Linked DNA regions of Notamacropus eugenii. The main gene of each other region encodes a partner of the protein of the gene in region 2 in a complex. Links are inferred from orthologs where the notes say so. Each region holds a gene or a part of one and is shown on either strand. Other genes may lie near its edges. The genes, in order: ARL6 and BBS7.

What was found.
Region 1: the proteins of BBS7 (region 2) and ARL6 are in contact, whole or in part, in a cryo-EM structure (PDB 6VBV), measured with the Bos taurus proteins. The link is inferred for Notamacropus eugenii from reciprocal best matches to the Homo sapiens genes BBS7 and ARL6. Residues at the interface, in NP_001178275.2 of Bos taurus: Leu3, Ile249, Val250, Gly251, Asp300, Gly301, Tyr302, Asp303, Thr319, Glu320, Pro321, His323, Lys324, Glu325, Ser326, Gly327, Pro328; in NP_001069250.1 of Bos taurus: Met132, Asp133, Arg135, Thr139, Ser140, Val141, Ser144, Trp157, His158, Ile159, Cys160, Ala161, Asp163, Lys166.

What each region holds. Positions count from the first base shown.
Region 1 is NC_092877.1:373,034,097-373,045,468, forward strand, and holds the start of ARL6 (ADP-ribosylation factor-like protein 6), read left to right. Parts: upstream 1-5,950; 5' UTR 5,951-6,279; intron 6,280-11,372. UniProt on the Homo sapiens protein: Involved in membrane protein trafficking at the base of the ciliary organelle. Mediates recruitment onto plasma membrane of the BBSome complex which would constitute a coat complex required for sorting of specific membrane proteins to the primary cilia.
Region 2 is NC_092878.1:162,566,896-162,578,037, reverse strand, and holds the start of BBS7 (BBSome complex member BBS7), read right to left. Parts: upstream 4,373-11,142; 5' UTR 4,214-4,372; coding exon 4,178-4,213; intron 111-4,177; coding exon 45-110; intron 1-44.

The DNA.
Region 1 (11,372 bases), on a different chromosome or scaffold from region 2:
CAATATCAACCATGTTCTCCCTAAATCAGGAAAGGAATTAGGAGAGAAAGCAAATTGTAAGAGGTTGAGAAGGAATTTTTCCTGATGAAAAGACATTGAGCACTGAGCAATTTTTTTCCCCAAGAATTCTCCTATGAAGTAGAGCAGGAAGATAGAACAGTAGATGAATGGCATAGGGTCAAGGGAAGTCTTTATTATGATTGAGGAGATATAGACATGTTTACAGACAGATAGAAAGGAACCAGTGGTAAGGTTAAAATTGAAGATGCATAAAAGAGGGGATAATTGCTGGAAAAATGTTCTGAGATTGCAAACAATGGGATCAAAAGCATGGGCAAAGGGATAGTCTAAATTGGAAATATAAATGGGGGAAAGAGAAAAAAGATTAATGACACCAAGAGGGTTTGAGAAATGGATGAGGATTCTCCAAGAATATCATGTAGGATGGCTTCAATATTCTTAATGAAATAAATAGGTAAATCATTTGCTTTAAATGTGGAGACTGGAGGTGGGCTTGGCAGAAGAGAAGGGTTGGAACAGGCACTAGATGATGAAGTAAAAAGTCAGTAAGGGTAGAGGATTCTTGAGCAGCAGCAAGGGTACAGCTGAGATTATTTAACATGAATTAATTAGTGTGTAGAATGATTTCATTTATGTGATTTTCTCTAGTAATGCTAAGCAGCACTGGAGCAAGAGTGGAAGAATCAGATCGTGGAGATTAACTAAGGACAAGGATTCACAGGTTGGGTACAAGGGCAAGAATTTCTAGGATATTAAGAAATGAAACATTAAAATGGGAAACCATAGGGTCCAAACCTGGCATAGAGACATGCGAAATCTGGGTCAGGGGAAATGGATCTAGAAAATAGAATGGGAAAAAGAAAGAAAGAAGGATAAAAGTCATTATAAATGCAAAGAGTAGAATTATAAGAAATCAATTTAGAGCATGAAGTAACCTTAAAGGTCATTTAACCCAACCTCATCATTTACAGATGAGCAAGCTGAGGCCTATAAAAGAGTTAAGCACCTTGCCTAAGATCATACAAGTTCACATAGGTAGAGCCATAAGAAGAACCCCAGATTCTCTGACTCCAAATCCAATACTTTTTTTTTGCCACATATTGCTACCTCCAATTTTCTGTAAATGTGATTAGAAGAAGAAAAACAGAATTCTACAGTTAGAGAGTAGAATTTTTAAAAATTAATTTTAGAGGTGGTATAATTTCAAAAGAGTGAGATCTAAAACATCCCTGTGCAGGTATGTAACTGAAGCAACAGGGAAAAGAAAATTAAGTTGATGAATGTAAAGAACTGGGAGGTCAGTTTGTTAAAGGTGTTGTGAACATGAGCAGTAAATTTCCTAATGATTATGTTAGGGGATGGAATAGACTACAAAAGAAGCAAGGCCATTGTGGAATGATGATAGAAAAATGACTTAGAAGTGGGAGAGGGAAATAAAGAGTATGCTCACACCTTCTCCCACCTATGTAATCTGAGGGGAGTAGGAGAAGTTGCCATCAGTAGAATGGGATATAAGAAGTAGAGTCCTCAATAGGATAGTCAAATAAAGGTGAGGAGGTAGAAAGAATGCTGGTTATAATTTAAACAAATAAATCCACTTACTGGCCTGTCTGCATCTGTCTGTATTCATCCTTCGTTTTCAAAGAAGACCAGGACATCAGAGAAATGATGACATGACTTGCACTTGACTTTGTTTTGAGGGAGGGAGGGCTGTGCCAGATTACCAGCCTCACTTTCTCCTCCTGAGTCATCTGGATCCAGTGACCAGATATTCATCAGGATGACTGGAGGAGGCCCAGGATGTACTGGGAGACCTTGGCCTAATCAGGCACTCACTTAAAGTGAGGTAATGCCCATGAAGTGAATAGGCCTTCTTAAGAAGTAAACAGGCAATGGCTCCTTTAATGAGCAAAAGAAAAAAATAAGTAAATCCAGCTGGGAGGGCAAACACAATGTATAATAGACTGTGATAGGCACCAGCAGTATTTAAATACTCAGATGGATCTGTGATTTCATTGGTGTTGGTACCACTCCCAAAGATACGGACTATGATCATCCATGCCCTCTTACCCCATGAAACTTTCATGCATATCCTCCCATAAATCCTCCAAATTGGTTCCACCCTACATACTAGAGGGAAGGACTTTATCTACAGCTTTTGAATTTTTTTAATATCTGAGTTCTCTCCTCACTTCACTTTCTACCATTCACTGAAAAAGGGGGAAAAACATGAAAAATATGTATAAATAAGCAAAACAAATTCCTGCATTATCAGTGTTCAAAAAATGTGCTTTCATCTACACTATGAGTTTATCACCTTTCTATCTGGAGGTAGAGAGCATATTTTATCACAAATTCTCTGAACTATTGTTGGCTCCACTGTGTTGATCAGAGTTCCTAAGTCTCTCAAAGCTGTTTGTCTTCATAACTCTGTTGCTACTGTATGAATTTCTCCTGGCTTCTGCTCTACTCACAGGTTGTGGGATGTCCTTTGTTCTCAAAGAGGACTATGACATGCAATTGAATAGGATTTCAGTGAAGGAGGGCTGTTCAAAGTCACTGGCCTCATTTTCTCCTCCATTTATGTGTATGTATATGTATATATTTCATCTTTTGCTTTATAAAAATTCCTATCTTGCTTTCACTAAACTGCCGGTTCTTTCTTGGAGCTCAGCCCACTTGCCGAGATATGTAATTCTCAATAAATGCTTTTGCTTGGGTTGGAGATGGCCTGAGTCTGTGAATTCTTTCAAGATGACCTCACAATATACCACGAAACTAAAATATTTTTGGTAAACCTAGGTGGACAGTCTCTGATTTGGACCCCCCTTTAATCCAAGGTAAACCTTTCCCTTTCCCTTCTCTTAGCAGGGAGGTCCTTCAAGTACCTAGAAACACTTGACGAGATTGTTGGGACCTAGCACCCGTGGACCCTTGCAGCTGGCAAGTTTTTCTAGACAGAGGAAGGGAAGGTTTGGGAACTTTGTGGAGAAGTTATTTTTGAACTCATTTTTCTTCCTCTCTCTCTCGATGGGTCACTACTGAAGAGGTGAGCAGTGGCGATAGGGAGGATATCTTTAGGCCTTTGGCATTATAAAGACAATCCCCACCCCCAAACCACAGGACTCCCCACTGGGCAGTCTCCTGCAAAATGAGAACAAATTCGACTTACAAGATCTAAAAGGAGTCACCTCATATTTTTCTGTAATAGAGCCTGGCCTCAATGCAATCTAGAGGACCAAGAAAAGTGATTTGTGGAGGGGATTTCTAACAAGGCTCTCTGAGCTGGTGGACTTTCCCCTGCATCTCTGTGTCTGTGTGAAAATGTCTGTCTGCCTCCTTGTAAGATTTAAAATGCAGCCAGCCAGAAAAAGGAAAACCTGTAAGGGCTGTAGCTAGAGAGAAGCTAGAAAAAGATTGATGAGCTTTCTCATCACTTTGAAGTCATAGCTGAAAGTGTGAACAGAGGGTTTGCAAGTAAGGTTTGGAAAGCACTGGAAAGAAAACATGGTTGGTAAAAATTCTTTCTTTCTCTCTCTCTCTCTCTCTCTCTCTCTCTCTCTCTCTCTCTCTCTCTCTCTCTCTGTCTCTATCTCTCTCTCTCTCCCTCTCTCTCCCTCTCTCTCTCCTTCTGTCTTTCCCTCTCTCTCCCTCTCTCTCCTTCTTTCTTTCTCCCTGAATTCTGGCCAGATTCAGGGATGTGGAGGAACAGACAAGGAAAAAGAAAGGGGGAACCTTTTCCCTCAGATCTAAAAGAAAAAAGGTCATTTCACTGATCAAAGAGAGGAAGGTTTGGGGACAGTGCCAGTGAAAGTCACAAAGCTGTATTTAAACCTTTCCTGGATCACAGAAAGAGAAAAGGTTTGTGTGATACAGGATACCATCAAAGGCAATTGACTTTGACTGGAATATCTCAACTAGAATTTAGGGAGTCTTATAAACTAAAAGTAAGTACTGGTCAATTTTGAAATAATTTTTTAAAAAATCAGTATGTGTGTTAAAATTGGAAATTTTACTAAATTATATGACACTCCTATTCATTTTAAGAAATCATAGAGAGCTATGGAGGAATTAATAAGCTACGGGTTCCTTCCAAGATAGTAGAACACAGATTTGAACTAATTAAAACATGCTCTTAAGTATGATAGTTGGGGTAGATTAAATTGTTGTATCAGATTGCCCCTGGATTAGGTGGAAATAGTGGACCTCATAATATGAAAAGTTTAGAACAAGAAGCATTTGTGTAAAATATAATATTACAGTTAACATTAAAATCCTAACCTTAGATTCCACGTAATACCATTTGGAACATAGATCTGGGTAATACAATTAATTTTGGTCACAATTTAAGTGAAATAATGTTTTTCCTAATTTGATGTTTAAAATAAGTCAGAATTTATTATATTATTTGACACTAAAATAAGTTCATAGATCTGAAATTTGTTAGTTGGGTGACCTTAAGCAATAACACAATGCCCGGCAGAGGGCAGATATTATAAAATGTTACTATTATTATGAGTTCCTTAATTAGATGTGAACAGTAACAATTACAACGGCGGTAAGAAGCCCTACAGAAACCGCAAAAAGGGTAAGGAAATTGTATCCTAAAGACAACAATGAGCCACTGACAATTTTTTGAGAAACAGAATACTACGCTCAGATTTTTTTTTTTTTTTTTGATAGCTGTGTGAAGGTCAAGATTAAAGAGGGAAAAAAAAAACTAAAGAAATTGACATCATTTAGGATACAGTATCTGATCTGATGAGTAGGATGATACTAGTGTGAGTACTGAGAACAAGATGGACATAATGTATCCTAAAGTTAGAACGGGGGTTTTTACAATTTATTGGGTGAAGGAGAGGAAGGAGTCAAAAATGTCTCAAGCTTTAAACTGAAGTGACTGGATGAGGATGATGTCAACAGAAATAGGAATTTGGGAAAGGAGCAGATTTTGGAGGCAATGAATTCCTTTTTGGACATAGGTGTGAGTGACGTTTAGCCGAAGTTGGAGATGTGAAACTGGAGTCTGGAGGAAAGATTAGGGTGGCTCTTATAGACTGGGGAGCAGTAAATAGAAGGTTGGCTTCAGAGTCCGGAAGGTCTGGTGTCAAGCCCTGTCTCAGATAAATGCTGGCTGTGATCCTAGGAAAATGACTTCAACCCTCAGTGCCCCAAGTTATATACTTATATATAAAGTTATAAACTGCAGAGAGGCGGATGAGATAGCTAAGAATAAGGTATAATAAAGGGAGAAGGAAGCTTGCTTAATTAAGGACGGCTTGTATAAGCAGGAGACCTAGGACAGAGCGGCGTCCCTTCGGTGGCACCAGAACTTCGGGATCCTGAGCTAGACGAGGTTCTGTTCCCATAGCCCCAAGATGACGAAAGAGCTAGGAGGGGCTGGGCACTGCGGTGGCATCTCTTTTGTCCTTTAAAACAAAAACCAGGGGACTCGATCCGCGCCCCAGCCCATCCCACCCCCAACCTGGAGGAAAGGAAAGTGTCCAAGTTAAAACTTTACAAAGGAGCCTCGCTCAGAACGCGTGCTCTGCAGCCCAGCTTCAGGCCAGCCTGTCCTCCGAGGAGGCGCCTCAAGGTACAACAAACACCGAGACCCTATTCCATTTCAGTCCCTGCAGGGGGCCACCCACACAGACTCGGGGCTGCTCCAAGCAAAGGCAGCTAGCTTTGGGCGGGGCTCACGGGCAGTCCGAAAAGGACTACATTTCCCGTGAAGCTACGAGGCGGATGCCGTCATTCGCCACATCGGCCAGTTCCGGGCCAGAGCTACACTCGAAGGCGGAAAGGCTTCCTGCACGCTTCATCAGTCAGGCATGCGCACTCCCTCCCAACCCGCCCACCAAGGCCCGGGCGGGGAAAAGGCGGGCCGACCTTCTCCATCAAACTCCGCCCAGGCTGAGGGGATAGAGCCAATTCCCGTAAGAGGAAGAAGAAAGGAGGAGCCTGGGGAGGGCGGGGCCTAAGGGCCGGAAGAGGCCGCGGTTGCCTAGGGGACGTCAGCAGTACCGCTCGCTGCTCCGCTGCCTCCCGGGAGACTCTGCGGGCGCTTCGGTGTTCCCGACCTTCTTGCCCCGGGCGGATGAATCCCTCCGGCCGCCGGGCGGGTCCTCGTAGATGGGGTCGGAGCTGAGGAGGGGGTCCCTCGTGCCCCAGCCCGAGCCGCGCCGGGGTCCCGCTCCGCCCCCCGAGAGGAGGCCGAGTCTGGGGTGAGGGAAGGGGCTCCGCTGGTTCCGGAAGGTGAGTCAGTTAATGAGGGTGACCTCGTCCTTTTTGTCACGTGGGCCAGACCCACCCATGGACAACTCAGGTGTCCGCAGTGACCACGTCTGCCTTCATTTCTGCCGGGTCCAGACAGGCTCCTTCTCACGCCGGGAAGGGATGGCTTTTTTTTTTTTTTTTTGCTCTGGTCACCTAGGAAATAAAAAACAAAACGAAGAAAAATACAGGATGAATGCCCCCAGCTTGGGTTTCCCCCTTCCGCTTATAGAGTGATTTATGGGTATTCATTCCTGACACAGCAGCCAATCAGTTCACCTGCTGTTGCCAAAGAAACTTATTTTAAGAATTGTATTTCAGTAGGATTCATTTCCTTTGTAATCCTACATATTTTATTCTATGCATTTAAAGAATTATGCTAAAAAAACAGATTGCTAGAAAGCGTAAAACCAATACTACAAATGAAACGAGAAGATAAAAAAAATTATACCTAAATGGGAAAGAAGGCTCTAGGTTTTCTTTGCAAAGTCAAAGGAATGGTGGAGTTGATTTTCTTATGTATCCAAAGGCTGAAAGAGAGAGAATTTCATGGGTTATTTGATCATTTCCCCTTGCAGCAATCTTCATAAAAAAGATTACTGTGGAGAAAAGTTTATGTGCCCACACTTGTGACAGAGGATGAGAAAATTCTCCAAAGCATTGGAGGGGAGCACCCAAATTAAATTAACATATGCTTTACTTTTCAGTGACTTCAATGTGGTATTTTAATAATTTTCAAAAATATAACAGGATCAAGAAATGGCTTATGGACTACAGAAGAGTATCATTCTTTTTATGATATGTTGATTAATTTGTGGAGCATTTTTTTCTTCTCTTTTTCAATTATTATAAGATATGGATTTCTGGGAGGGGGTCAGTAGACATACAGTGGAGAAATGTAAGTGATGTAAAAATAAAAGATACCAATAAAACTTATTTCCACAATTCAAAATGGTTTATATTTCTACATTGGTATTGTTCTTAGAAGATTAAATGTTTGCTGGCTGAGACTTTTTCAAGACTCTTGGCCTCCTCTGCATGGCACTTTTCATGGTAAATACAGGCAGAGATCACTTGTGAGGTAGAACCAAGAAGGCAGAATAGTAGGAAGGAGTACAGTGAGTTCCTTCACCAAACTCCAGGAGTGGGTTCTTCTGAGCACTTTCAGTTCACAGAGACTATGTGTGAGGGCCAGAAGTGACCTCCACACCTATACCATAAGGTGACCTCATATAGTGACCTGGGGACAGGTATTAATTGGCAGGTTTGTTACCTAGTATCAGTTCTGGGTCACAAATCCAGAGTAGCCTGAGGAAGGAACCTATGGACAGAGAAGAGTGTCTGTTCTAGCCTCTAGAACAATTTGAAGCCTTTAGAGAAATAACCAGGCAGGAATCCTAGACTTTAAAGAAGCCTGCAGTTGTCACTGAAGTAGCAGAGCTTTCCAGCTACCTGACAGTTGACTTAGTCCAGCAGCAGTGAATTGTTGCTCATACTCAGATTCAAATCAGGAATTTTAAGCTCAGATGGGGGGAGGGTGGGGTAACCATCAGACTTTGCCCTGCACTTTGAAAGCATTGAAATTTGTCTAGAATAACACAGTTCTCACTACTCTCAAGAGAGCAACAATGGATTAAGTCCAGACTTTCCATCTGGTAGTGAGCAGAACCTGGCCCTCACATAAAGCCTGAAGTCAGAAGTAGGTTGAAAGAATGAGCAAAAAAAAAAAAAATGCTGCCATCCAAAACTGTTATGTGGTGACAGGGACTGAATACATAAACTCAGAAGAATAGAATGACCCCAAAACATCTTCAAGCAAAGTCTCAAAGAAAAATACACTTTGGGCACAAATTCAACTAGAATTTGTAGAAGAAAGGAAGCAAGAGTTTTAAAAAAAAGTTAATGTTTTTACAAATTAGATGAAATCTAATGCTGTTGTTTCAGAAAGCTTTAGAGTTTAGAGGAAAAACTGGGAAAGAAATGAGAGCTGTGGTAAAAATAATTGGAAAGTGAATTAACAATTTGATACAAAAGGTATAAAACCTTGCCAAAGCAGCATATGCTCCCTGAAAATGAAAATAGATAAGGAAAAACCAATTAGACAACAAAGAGTATGCCAAAATCAAAAGACATTTAGAACAAAATATTAGGTATCTCATAGCAAAAACAACTGCCTTGGAAAACAGTTCAATGAGACAAAAAACCATCAGATTCATTGAACAGTTTGAAAACCAGAACCAAAATAGTCTAAACATCATGTATCGAGAAATCTTAAAAGAAAATTGCCCCGAACTCCTAGAACCAAAGGGCAAAGTGGAAATAGAAAGAGTCTACCAGTCACCTTCTAAAAGAAACCTCAGGAATATAGTAGCTAAAATCTAGAGCTTCCAGGTAAACAAAAAAATGCTGCAAGTAGTCAGAAAGAATTCAAATATAAGGACTGTCAGAATCACACGTGATTTAGTAGCCACCCCTTCAGAATAGTGAAGAGCTTAGAATATAATATTCTGGAAGGGAAATGATATAATCCTACCCAGTAAAACTGAATATAATCTTGGGAGAAATGGACCTTTAATGAAAAGGAGGACTTTCTAGTATTCCTGACGAAAAGAACTGAATAGAAGCTTTGAAGTTCAAGCACAAAGAAGTTAAGAGAAACAAAAAAATAAACACAAATAAAAAATTATAAAGGATTTAACAGGGATAAACTGCTTACAATCTAAAACAGGGAGATGATATATGTATCCTCTTTGAATTCTGGGGCAGCTAAGTGTGCAACGGATAGAACTCTGGCCCTGGAATCAGGAAGCTACATACATCTTCCTGAGTTCAAGTCTGGCCTCATACACTAGCTATTGTGACCCTGGGCAAATCACTTAACCCTCTTTGCCTTAGTTTCCTCATCTGTAAAATCAGCTGGAGAAGGAAATGGCAGTATCTCTGCCAAGAAAACTTCAAATGGGGTCACAAAGAGTTGTACTTGACTGAAAATAACACAGCACAACTTTGAATCCTGTCATCAACAGTAGTCATAGAGAAAATCCAATTGGACAGAAATCCTGGAAGTGGTTCTTTTATATCTCATATCTGATCTTAAAAGAAGAATGGAAAGGGAGGGGAAGAGGAATACACAAGGGAAGGTGAAGAGAAGGAAAAGCAAGGAGAAATAATTGAGATGTGTCATCAAAAGTCTATACAAATAAAGAGGGAAGCAGTTTAGGGTACAGTTAACACTTGAACCTCATTCTTTTCTGAACTGGTCAAAGAAGGGAAGAATACATACACATTCACACAGCTGGGTAGAGAACTACATTTCACTCAACAGGGAAATTTGAAGGAGAGAGGGAATTAGAGGGGAAATGTGGAAAAATTAGTCCTAAGCAACTCACTAAAGTTATTTTCAAATACCTGTAGCTCTTTATGAAGTGACAACAAGAATCTGAAGGGTTGCCCATCACTTGTGGGATAGGCAAGTTATGGTATAGTATGTGAATGTGATGGGACCCTATTGTAGTATAAATAATTTAGCCAAATGTGAAATATAACTGAATGGTCATTTTCATCTTGGAAGAGGAAACTTGAATAGTATGTGCATAGTGAGGAAACATGACCTAATATACTACAGTGTATCTAAATTATCTCAAATGAATATATCTAAGTATCTTGTACTTTAATACCTCCACATGGAAAGAGTTTACATGGTCTTCATCTCTTAGTAAAAATTTGCTAACAATTCTAGGCAAGATGTGTCCCCTAACTTAAACCTGCTTTATTTACTTTGGTTCTCAGTAAAAATGAAGTACCTGATACTATCTGATAAACAAATTCACTCTCCTGCCCTTGGTTTTCAAATCTAATTAAATCTGTTTTATAAGTGATTTATTATCATATTAAATATTAGTACAACCCAAAATTGCCTTACAACTGTTTGTGCAATGAATTTGTTTGTCAAATGTTAGGACTTTTCAATTACTCTTTATAAGTAATTGTATAAGTATAATTATAAGTATAATTAATTAATATAAGTATACTTATTATACAATATACAATTGTATACAAGTGTACAGTTACTCTTTATAAGTAGTTGTATAAGTATAATTAATATAAGTACAATTAATTAAGTATAATGACTGTATAAGTAATTGTAATCCTTTATATGTGTGTCCATTCTTGTTTATTCTTGTGTCCTTTTATATGATCATAGTGTGCTCTGTTCCTTTAGATTTGTTTTTTTTCACTGTACATTATTTCATGAAGACTTCTCCATAATTTTTACATTCAGTTCCCTCATTGAATGTTTAGTTTGCTTCCAGTTTTATTTAAGTTTTTGTTTTTGTAATTTAAATAATGCTGCTCTAAAATTCTTTAAACAGATTTTGTGGTTGTTGATCCCATTCTCAGAGTATATTCCCCAAAATAGAATTATTGATATCATGACTTTCATTGTATGTTGCCATATTTTAAAAAACTATTGATTTGAGAGTCTACTGTCAATGTGTTTCTTTATCCACGATCCCACTAGAATTGTGTTTTGTTGTTTTTAATTATTTCTAACAATTTGATGGATGTGAGGTAATTCCTCAAGTTTGTTTTCATTTTTATCTTTGTTTGTTAAAGTGAGGTTGAACATTTTTTCAAGTGATTAACAACTTCTTTTCTTCTCTTTTGCAAATTGACTGTTTGTCATCTTATTTTTTTATAGGTTCTAAATCCTAACCTTTTAATTGTTGTCAATGTTAACTGATAGACTCTCTTCAAATTTATAATTTAAAATTACAGACCATAAAGCAGCATTGACCTGATCTGACCCATACTGTTGTCTAATATACTATCTCTGAAATGAAACCTGTCTAGCAACTCCAAGGGTATTCATTATCCTGTGTGCCCAGGTTTATAAGCAGTCAATCTGCTTTTGCAGACAAGACTTCTTTGCTGTAATCAGCTTATGTTCTGTTTACTGATTACAAACTATAGTGACATTGCCTTTTGCATTGTCTCTCCACTCTTCATATTCTTGACCCACATATGGACCCAGTGTATACTTGGAGTGCCTTTTATAATAGTTTTGTGTTCTT
Region 2 (11,142 bases):
GAGCAGAGGCTGCTACACAGTCATGTATGGGAACGAATTGGCACCTTCTGGGTTGCTCTGCGTCCAGATGCCGGGAGCAGCTTCATGGTCTTCTGAGAGGTCACTCCCACCTAGGAAACAAAAGCCAGAAGGTTTCTTACTTAGCAAACTAGGATCACAGCAAGGAAATTTCAACTGTGATGAAATGGTTTACGATGAAATCCTCATCAATATCATCAGGGACAAAATTATAATCCGAATCCTAAAGACATGCCGAAATTTGTTAAAGTTGGCACAACAACTTCAACCGGAAATAAGAAACCTTCTATTTTAAATTACAAAGTAGAGGACATTGATCACGAGCTTACGACACTGTGGGAAGAATACTTCTAAAGCAAGAAAACTTTTCTGTTAAAAAAAAATCAGGCTAATAATATAATCCACAGATTCTTCCTGAACAAAGTAATTTTTCTTAAATCTCTGCAAACCTGGAAATGTAGAGCAAGAGTTAGTAGGAGGTCGTATTGGTGATACTGATCAGGAACAGTGATGACAATTACCAACTCAATTGATAAAACTCTTAGGTTCAAACACCATAAAATGTACTTTTTTCCAAGTCTTTCCCCTGCACTGGATCCTCACCTTAACTCTGGATGACAGGGAAGGCAGGTAATTCTTTTGCCCTCTTTTTTTCTCTCACCTTCCTTCTCTCCTTCTGTAATCTCATCAGCCCTGAGCAGATGACACCCAGAACTATGTGGCCAGCTCCTGTCTCGCTCCCAAGCTCCAGGCACTCACCAGCCAGGCCTGCTGGATACTGCCTATCTCTGACTGGCTGCTGGGGAGGCATCTCAAACTCAGCCTCTTTGAGCTCATCTTTCCTTCTCCCTAACTTCTTTATTTCTGCTGAAAGCACCCCATCCTTCCAGTCACCCAGATCCATAACATCGGAATCATCAATGACTCTTCTCTATCACCTTTTGTATCCAATCAGCTTTCAAATCGTGTCAATTGCTACAACCCCCACCCTAACTCAGGTCCTCATCACCTCTCACCTGCTACCACAATGGCCTTCTGACCTTCTAAGTTTGATCAGGTCAGCCCCCTGCTCAAGAACCTGCAATGGCTCCCATGTAACTCTGGGATGGCTATGTTTCCTGGTTTAGTATACATTAACTTTCCTTCACAACTCTACATTGTGCCACGCTGGTCTTAACATTCCCCATTTACAACACACATCTCCTGTCTCTATGCCTCTACAGACTTTCAGGCCTAAAAAGCACCTCTCATCCACCTCTTAGAGTTCCAAGTTTCCTTTAAAGTTCAGCCCAAGTACCACTCCTACAGAAAGCCCTTCATAACCTACTCCATCCAAGCTTCCCAGTCTTCGTACCTCTTACATGACTCCCTAAACATACTGTTTGATCCTAGGATTCTGTTCTCTGAACCAGACACTCCCATCTCTCACCCCTGGGCATTATCAAAGTCTATCCCCAAGGCCTAGAATGCTCTCCCTCCTCATCTCCCTCTTCTGGCTCCCTTCAGTTCCCAGCAAAACCCCTACCTTCTATGGGAATCCTTTCCCAAGGCCTCTTAGAATTAGTGCCTTCCCTCTGCTGCCTGTCTGCAACAGACTTTCTACAGCTCCTTTGTATATAATCGAAACATTAGCATGCTGTCTCTTCCATGACTGTGAGCTCCTTGAGGGCAGGGACTGGTTTCTGCCTTTCTCTGCATATCCAGTGCTGTGCAGAGTACCCGCACATAGAAGGCACTTAAAAAATGCTTGTTGACTAACTAATCAACCAAGCACTAGTGGCCCACCCCAAAATACATGCACTGGATATATCTAATACTTAATATTCTATGTACTCAGTGTTCCCCTCCTATAGGATGTAAGCTCCCTGATGGTAGGAAATTTCATTTTGTCTTTAGGGTCTGGCACATTTTGGTGGGGGGGGGGGGGAAGGTCCTTCCATTGGTATAGGGAAATCCCCACCATTAATGCAGATTTGCATCTGCTCTCCAATTTAATTTGCCAGTTTAATTTTCTGTTGGGGCAACAGAAGGTGAAGTAAGATACATAGAGCCACAAAGAATGTATCGGGGCATGATTTATACTCAGGTTCAAGTCAGGTTTATTATCTACCTCTAGTAGAACATGAGCAGAGACTGTCTTACTTTTCTGGACCTGTCCTCAGGGCTTAGCTCATTTAAGGTTGCTTAATAAATTCTTCCTTCCTTCCTTCATTCATTCATTCCTACAAGCTCCACGTGATCTGGGGCAGGCGACAAGTTGTGTTGCTGATGAACTGTTTTCAGTTGGGTCTGATTCTTCATGACTCCATTTGGTGTTTTACTGGCGAAGATGCGGGAATGGTTTGCCATTTCCTCCCTCAGCTCATTTGACAGAAGGGTCATTTGAGGCAAACAGAGAAAGAGCTATTAAGTATCTGGGGCCAGATCTGAACTCAGGAATGTGAGTCTTCCTCATCCCAAGCCCAGTGCTTTATCCGCTGGGTCACCAGGCGGGGACCAAACTCAGAAAGAGGGGCCACTAAACACAAGGACCACATGTTGATTTAGAAAACCATGCATTCACATTATCTACGTCCTATTGTGGCTTTACTTATTTTGGGGGAAGGGCTGTTGGCTCCACATTTGATACCTCTGCTCCAGACAAGGACTGTAAGCCACAGGGCACCTACTGATCTGCACTGGTGAAGGAAGTGTCCTGATGGAGACTTCCTTCCACTGATGAAACTGTAGGGGAAGGAAGGAAGGAAGGAAGGAAGGAAGGAAGGAAGGAAGGAAGGAAGGAAGGAAGGAAGGAAGGAAGGAAGGAAGGAAGAAGGGAAGGAAGGAAGGAAGAAGGGAAGGAAGGAAGAAAAGAAGGAAGGAAGGAAGGAAGAAGGGAAGGAAGGAAGAAGGGAAGGAAGGAAGGAAGAAGGGAAGGAAGGAAGAAGGGAAGGAAGGAAGGAAGAAAAGAAGGAAGGAAGGAAGGAAGGAAGGAAGAAGGGAAGGAAGGAAGGAAGAAGGGAAGGAAGGAAGGAAGAAGGGAAGGAAGGAAGGAAGAAAAGAAGGAAGGAAGGAAGGAAGGAAGGAAGGAAGGAAGGAAGGAAGGAAGGAAGAAAGGAGGGAAGGAGGGAAGGAGGGAAGGAAGGAAGGAGGGAAGGAAGGAGGAAGGAGGGCAGGAGGGAAGGAAGGAAGGAAGGAAGGAGGGAGGGAGGGAGGGAAGGCAGCAAGCAGCCCATGCGCCTATCGAGCCCCCCAGCTGCGCCGGTGCTCAGGGCGCAGCCTGGCTCCGCTCCGGACCCTGGCACGGCACCGAAGCTCCCAGCCTCTGGGACTCTCCGGCTGCACTAAGTGGGCTCTTAAACAAGACTCCTGCCAGCTCCGAACCTATAGTGCCCTCGAGCACATCACCCGGCCCTCTCTTGGGCCTCAGTTTCCCCATCTGTAAAATGTGTGGGTTGCTTTTAGATCTAGCTATGGGAGCCTGGGAAGGTGAGAGAGAGACTGGGAGAGGAAGAGAGAGGAGGGGCACGATGGAGAGAGAGGAATGAGGAGAGGGGGAGGGGGAGAAGGGAGGGGGAGGAGGGGTGGGGGAGGGGTGGGGGAGGGGTGGGGGAGGGGCAGGATGGGGGAGGGGAGGGGAAGGAGGAGGATGGAGGACGGAGGAGGGGAGGGGAGGAGGGGAGGGGAGGGGAGGAGGAGGGGGAGGAGGGGGGAGGAGGGATGGGGGAGGAGAGGTGGGGGAGGGGCAGGATGGGGGAGGGGAGGGGAAGGGGGAGGATGGAGGACGGAGGAGGGGAGGGGAGGAGGGGAGGGGAGGGGAGGAGGAGGGGGAGGAGGGGGGAGGAGGGATGGGGGAGGAGAGGTGGGGGAGGGGCAGGATGGGGGAGGGGAGGGGAAGGGGGAGGATGGAGGACAGAGGAGGGGAGGGGAGGAGGGGAGGGGAGGAGGGGAGGGGAGGAGGAGGGGGAGGAGGGATGGGGGAGGGGGAGGATGGAAGAGGGATGGGGGACGGGGAGGGGGAGGGGGAGAGTTGGCCCGGGCCCGGCCCGTCGCTCACAGCCCCGCAGGACCCGCCTCTCGGGCCGCAGCCTCGGCCGGAGCCGGAGCCCGGGAGCGGCCGTGAGCAGCGGCGCGTCCCCGGCAGGCCCGCAGTCAGGCCGGTTCCGGGCGCTTCTCTCACCTGTAAATAGTCGGAGCGGTTCAGGGTGAGCTCCATGGTGGGGGCGGTGGCCGAGGTGGGAGGGGCGAGGCGCCGACGCGAGCGGAGGAGCCGCGCACGAAACCCCGCCCCCTAACTCGGGCCAATGGGAGAGCGGGTAAGATGTGGGGCGGGGAGAGGGCGGGGATTCGTCCTGCGTCACGGCGGAGGATCCGCCCCCAGGAGCCCGCGCAGCCTCCCTGGCACCCAGGAGAAGGAGGGAAGGCCTTAGCCGGGAACCGTTTCCATGACGACGGCGACGCCAAACTGGCTCCGCCCCTCTCCTAGGGATGGGAGGGGTTTTCTGAGAATCCTTAAGCCCCGGTAATTAGTCAGACCACAAGCACTTATTAAGCACTTACTGTGTGCCAGGCTCTGCGCAAATGCCTGAGCAAGACTAGGCCACAAACTCGCTTTCCCTTTAATCTTTTCCTTTCCCACTGCCTCCATCTTCTGGCTCTCGCTAAGGTACAGCCTCCATATCTACCGATCGGGCATTAAAATGTACGGGGTACTATATGAAAAAACAGCAAACTCGTGCTGGACTCAAAGAGCTTGCAGTCTTAGGGGGGGAGCTGCAACGGGGGAAGGGCGTGGTGGGGAGACACCCAAGATGGTGGAGAAGACCCCAAGGCGGGGCCAGGTGACAAGTGTCTGAGCTGACCTCCCTCCTTACCTGGACGTTTGGGGGGCATGGCCCCACCCTCCAGTCAGAGGGGCGGAGGATGGAGAGGAGGTGGATCCAAGGCTGAGGGGCTCTCACAGGACGAGGAGGTTCTCCCAAGAATGAGCTAGAATGAGTAGAAAAGTCAATCAGAGAAATCCCCAAACAAGGCAGTTAGGTGAAAAATGAGGGTCTAATCAAAATCCTGGTAGCTATTGTTTTCCACAAAAAAACCATCCTGTTACCCACAAATGTACCACTTCCATGTTCACGAGCTCTGGAATTCCCCAATTAGAGCACAAGATTTTGTTAATTCCATCTCTCCCCGCACTTTGAAACCAAAAGCCCTCTTCTTCACCTCCACTCTGACTTCAGTCCCTCAAACCTTCAGTTCTATCCCAGACCATCACCCCTACACTACCTGTGCTCTCATCCTTGCCCCACCTTGAGCAATTCAACTCTATAATGCCCCCTTCCCTTGAGTCCCTTTCCTCCTATTGCCAATCTTACCCTACCAATTCTCAGCCTTGGCTCATTCCTACACATGTGCTGTTGGAAGAAGCTGGAAAAAATGATGAAACTGTTTCTACAGATTTATCTCACATAACCTTCGCTGGGCCCTTACCTATGCAGAGCAATTCTTTTCTTGTTATCATTCAGTTATGTCCAACTCTTTAAGACCTCATTTGGGGTTTTCTTGCAAAGATACTGAAATGGTTTGCTATTTCCTTCTACAGATGAGGAAACTGAGGCAAACAGGGTTAAGTGACTTGCAAAGAGTCATGCCTAATTAAGTATCTGAGGCCAGGCTTGAACTCAGGACGATGAGTGTTCCTGACTCCAAGCCCAGCATTCTCTCCACTGTACCACCTAGTTGGCCCAATCCTTTTATACCACCCTAATTAATTCAGTCTCCCAATACACAATGGCTCTTCCAAACCTTCTTATCCCTCCTCAAACCTCCCATGAGTCTCCACTCTTTCAGCTGAGAAACTTGGTTCATATTTTGTTGGGAAAAAAAAGTAATGAGGTAGGGCCTTAGAGCATAGAGTGGCAGAGACCAGAGAGACCATAGATCATAGATTGAAAGCTGGAAGGAACCTTAGAGCAAGGACAACTTCTTCAATTTTAAGTGATTTGCCCAAATTCATGGAGGTAATAAGTACCAAAGCCTGGACTTGGACCGAGATCCTGGGACTCCAAACCAAATCTTGTCTTTCTTTCCTCTACCATACCAGAGTGGCAGACTTGAGAAGGGTCTTTGACCATAAACTGGGAAGACAGCACCAGCAAAATGGCAGAAAAGATACTTTCTCTAAACCAGACTGGAAAAGAAAGGAATTGTATGCCAATAATGAAATAATTAAAACCGATCTCACAAGAAAAGAAATGGTACATGAACTCAATGAATATCTAAAGAGTTAATGGTGAGCCAGCATTAACCCAAACATTGTCCTCCTGTCAACTCTCCGTGGGTTCAGGACAAGAGGCATGAACTTCTCAGGGTTGTGACCTCAGCTATACATCCGCTGTAGTAGTGATTCTTCCCAGCCTCCAATCCCCAACACTCATTGATTCTGTCCAACCAAGCAAAGAAAATGAGGGGAGGGAAAGGAGAGATTGAAAAGCTGAAAATCATGCTGGCTTCAACTGGTTTTCCCGGCCCAGAGTCCTGGGTTAGAGGAAAACAACAGAAGAGAATAATGGGAAAGGGCCTGGAAAAGCAGCTGGGGCTGTTTAGGCACTCCAGCAGCGGCTCAAGGTGGAGAGTCTATCCAGCAACTCCTTATCTCCTAAGATGAGGAGACAAAGCCAGGCTCTGGGGACTACACACAGGGGGAGGTGTCAAAGGATGAGAAACAGGGAAAACAACACAATGGCTGATGTGCCCAAAATAGAAAGGCTTTACCCAGATCTATGGGATGAGGAGTGATGAAAGCACTTGGTCCCCAATTCACAGCATTCACAGCATGTGATTGTGTCGTATTCACTTATTACAGGAGAAAGAAATCTAGCAATCCCTGATCCCCCCCCAAAAAAAGTCCATCCTTTTCAGGCTTGGTGCTTCTGTGTGGCTGTGAACGTGTGGCCTCACGACTATTTTAGATTGGATAATTCAACTAAATCCCATAAGTATTTATTAACCACCTGTTATGTGCCAGAGTGATGGAGCGAGTGTAGGGGCCATGTAAAGAATCAGGATGAGACACAAGGTTTATCACTGAGGAAATGCATGATGGGAAATTGAGGTCTTTCAATGCTGTAGAGGTCAAGGCTGACCAAAGGATGGTCTTTGGAGCACTGAACCAGCTAGAAGTTTAAACACCCTAGAGAAAGGTTTAGCACTTTGGGTGGATCCCATATAGAAGATTTAGGAGAGAACAGGCCTAAGAATTGCCAGCTTGGAAGACATGGATGGGATGCCATCTCCACTGGTTGTGGGAATGCTCACATCAATGAGGTCATGGATCATTGGAAATAGTAAAGCAGGAGGCCCTTTTCCTGGCTTATTCTGTGTCACAGTTATCCTCCTACTAAACTGTAGAGATGCTCTCCAAAAATATTGAGTACCTACTGTGTGCTGGGCACTGTGCTAAGGTATAAATAAAGGTAAGAGGAGCTCACAGTCTAATGGGGCAGACCACATGGGAATAACCACATAAAAACAAGCTACATTCAAGATAGATGGGAGATAATGAACAGAGTGGAGGTGATCGTATTAAATTTTGTCCTTGTTCCCCAGCACATGGAAACTCCAACTCTGGATGATCACTTTTATATCACATACCTGAAGCCTAAGGGAGGTGAAATTGCAATTTGTTTTGCTTCTTATTCTTAGCATTAATAAATAATCATCAATAAAATAATAAAAATAAAACTAAAAATTTAATTTAAAAATCCTGGTGGAGAAGAAAATTGAAATTATTTTAAAATGGGAATGTCTTTAGATTTCATTTATTCCTTCTTTTTCTTTTCCTTAGGGCCAGAGAGGATCAAGTTTCTTCTGATCTAAATTATTCCTCATGGAGACAAAGAAAGCAGGGTTCTGTTTATCAGAAGGGCTTAGGACAGGGGTGAGATCAGCTGTGGCCCTCTAGGTCCTTGAGTGCAGCCTTTTGACTGAGTCCCTGTTTTATAGAACAAATCCTTTTTTTCAGGGGTTCTCCACCTCTGGCTTAGGATCATAGATTCAAAACTAGAAGGAACTGGAAAGGTCATCCAGACCCATGGCCTCATTTCACATACTCTCATTGTAGTGCAGATTCCTACCACCTTCACTCAAGAATAACCCTTTCCCATCTTAAATTTATATCATCCTTTCTGGATCCTTATTGATATCATTTTGGGGCCTTTCTCTCCTCATCAGGAAGGCTGCTCTCTGGGTCACAGTCTAGTGTTCTATCCCAACTCCTTTACTGGGCAGCTAAGTGACACAATAGATAGAGCATGGGACCCGGAGTCAGGAAGACTTACATTCAAAGCCAGCCTCAGACGCTAACTATGTGATCCTGGGTAAGTCACTTAACCCTGTTTGCCTCAGTTTCCTCATCTGTCAAACGAGCTGGAAAGGGAAATGGCAAACCCCTCCAGTATCTTTGCCAAGAAAACCCCAAATGGGGCCACAGCTGAACAACAAAATACTTTATTCTTTAAAAAAAATTTTTATGTTATTTTGCACTTCACCAACACCAATATTTCCATATAGAAAGAACAGGAGTGCTTCTGAAACTACAAAACTGTATTACATACAGTTTTTAAAAGTATGTAATGGATTCAGTGTATTCATTTCAAAATTCTTCTATTTGTTAGTGGCCCTCTTAACTTTCTTACATTCCCTCCTTTTTCTTAAAATGTTTCAATAAACTTTTTCTTTTCTTTTTTTATATCATCATCATCATCATCATCATCATCATGCCCCTTTCCTCCCCTTTATCTCCCCCAAATTAAAAACAAACAAATCCTCTTGTAATAAATACATATAGTAAAACAACACGAATTCACCCATAGCCACATCCAAAGCTGCATATGCCTCATCACACAGCTCATCTAGAGTTCCTCTGTCGGGAAGTGCACATGTATAACCTATATTGGACTGTTTGCTGTCTTGGGGAGATGAGAGAGGAAGGGAGAAAAATGTGGAGCTCAAAATCTTATAAAAAAGAATATTGAAAACTATCTTTACATGTAACTGGAAAAAAATAATTTACCAAAAAAAAAAAATGTGCCTATCAAAGATGTCCATCATGGTAATGTTGTTGGTGATAGCAAAAATGGGCCAGCAATGGAAACTATTGGCTTCACCACCCACACCGTTGTCCCATCAAGGCCAGTACATCCCTCTTGCAGATTGTCACACAGTTTGCATCGTTGCAAGACTGAACTGAAAGAGAAAATGAATCACTGTTGTGGTAAGAAGCTGGAAAACATCCCCAAATTCCTGAAATGTGTGATGCTGCCATTACAGACAGGGTTCCAGGCAATCCCAAGTGTGGAAAGCTTCCCTGGTGGTCCTCCTCCAGGTCGTTTTCGCTGGTCACGATGTGAGGCAGACCATTGTAGCTGGTGTCATCAAGGCAGCTGACAAGATGGCTGCTCCAGCTGGCCAGGTCACTAAATCTTCCCACGAGACTCAAAGGCTAAATGAATATTTGGTACAACAGCAGCCACCCCAGTCTCAATTAGTGTCTCAGAACCGTTTGTCTCAATTGGCCATTAACATTTAATGGTAAAAGCCTGGTTAATGATTACAACACATCATAAAAGCTTTAGGAAGAAAGGAATGTTGGGGTTTTTTTCCTAGACATTTGTTTCATGGCAGTTTTGAGTTATTCATTTTTAAAATCCATAATTTTTAAATGGAAACATCTTGACCAAAAATCTGTCACAGAATTTTCAGACCGTTAAAACAAATGTTAATGTGAAGAAAAACTCTTTACCAGAAAAACAAGATTTCAACCTTTTTAATTGTTCCATAGCTAATTTTGATTATAATGGTTTTGTGTGTGCTGAAGCTTTTCAGTTTTATGCAATAAAAATGGTCCATTTTATCTCTTGTGATCTTCTCTATCCCTCTTACTTGGTCCAGAGCTATTGCTTTACATATAATAGTGAAAGCGATCTCTTTCCCTATTCCTCTAATTATTTTATTATGTGATCTTTCAAATCTAGGTTCTGTATATCCATCTGGAACTTATCATGATTGTGCTATAACAAGTTGGCTTAAATCTTCTTGCAGCTTGACTGCTTTCCAATTTTCCTAGCAGTTTTTGTTGAATAGTTAAGTCCTTATCACAGTAATTGGCCTTTTGGGATTTATTGAGCACTATGCTACCATGTTCAATTGTCTTGGGGTCTTGTGTACCCAATCTGCCCAATTTAATCATTTTTCCTAGTTTTAACTCATTCCCTGTAGTTTTTATGATTACTGTTTTCTAGTAAAGTTGTGATCTGGAATGTCTACGCCTGCTTTTTTCCCACTTTTTTTTCATTATTTGCCTTTAGATTCTTCAGTTTTTGTTCCTTTCTAAAGGAATTTATTATTTTCCCGGTTCTATGGTATGGTATGGCATCGATTGAATACATTTCATTTGCTAATATCATTTTTATTACAATGGCAACCCCAACTTTGAACAATGACTGTTCAAAGATACTATTTGCTATATTAAGGAAAGGTCCGTTTATTCCTGTGCTTTTTAGGATTTTTGTTGTTGTTAAAGTAATTAATATGACAGTTTGTTAGAAAGTCTTTTCTGCTTCTGTGGATGCAAGACTTGGACTTAGACTGTTATGGGATTTATAGTTTATCCACAGTTCAGGAAGCAGGGATCTAATGAGGAATTTTGGCAGTACTGGACTGCATGATGCCAGCCAGGTGGTTACAACTGGTGAAGTGACTCTAGAGACCAGAGAGACTTCTTTGGCTTCACCTCACTCAGTCCAGTATAAACCACAGAATAGATCGTGTCTCTTCCCAGGTGGAGAAAGACTATAAATCTCATAATAGCAATTTGAATTCTGGTTGTAGATATAATCATGTGACTTTTTTTTAAGTTTAGGAAGGGTTATTAGGTTTGTAGTTTTCAAAATTTAGAATCCTGGTATAATCCAACTTGGTCACAGTGTATAGTATTTTAAGTACTTTCCTATAGCTTCTTTACTAATTTTTATTCATATTTTCGCATTAATATTCATTGTGATATTAATCTTTTCTACTTCTGTTTTGTCTCTCCCTGGTTTGGGTATCAAGGCTATATTTCTGTCGATGGCAGAATTTTGTAGGATC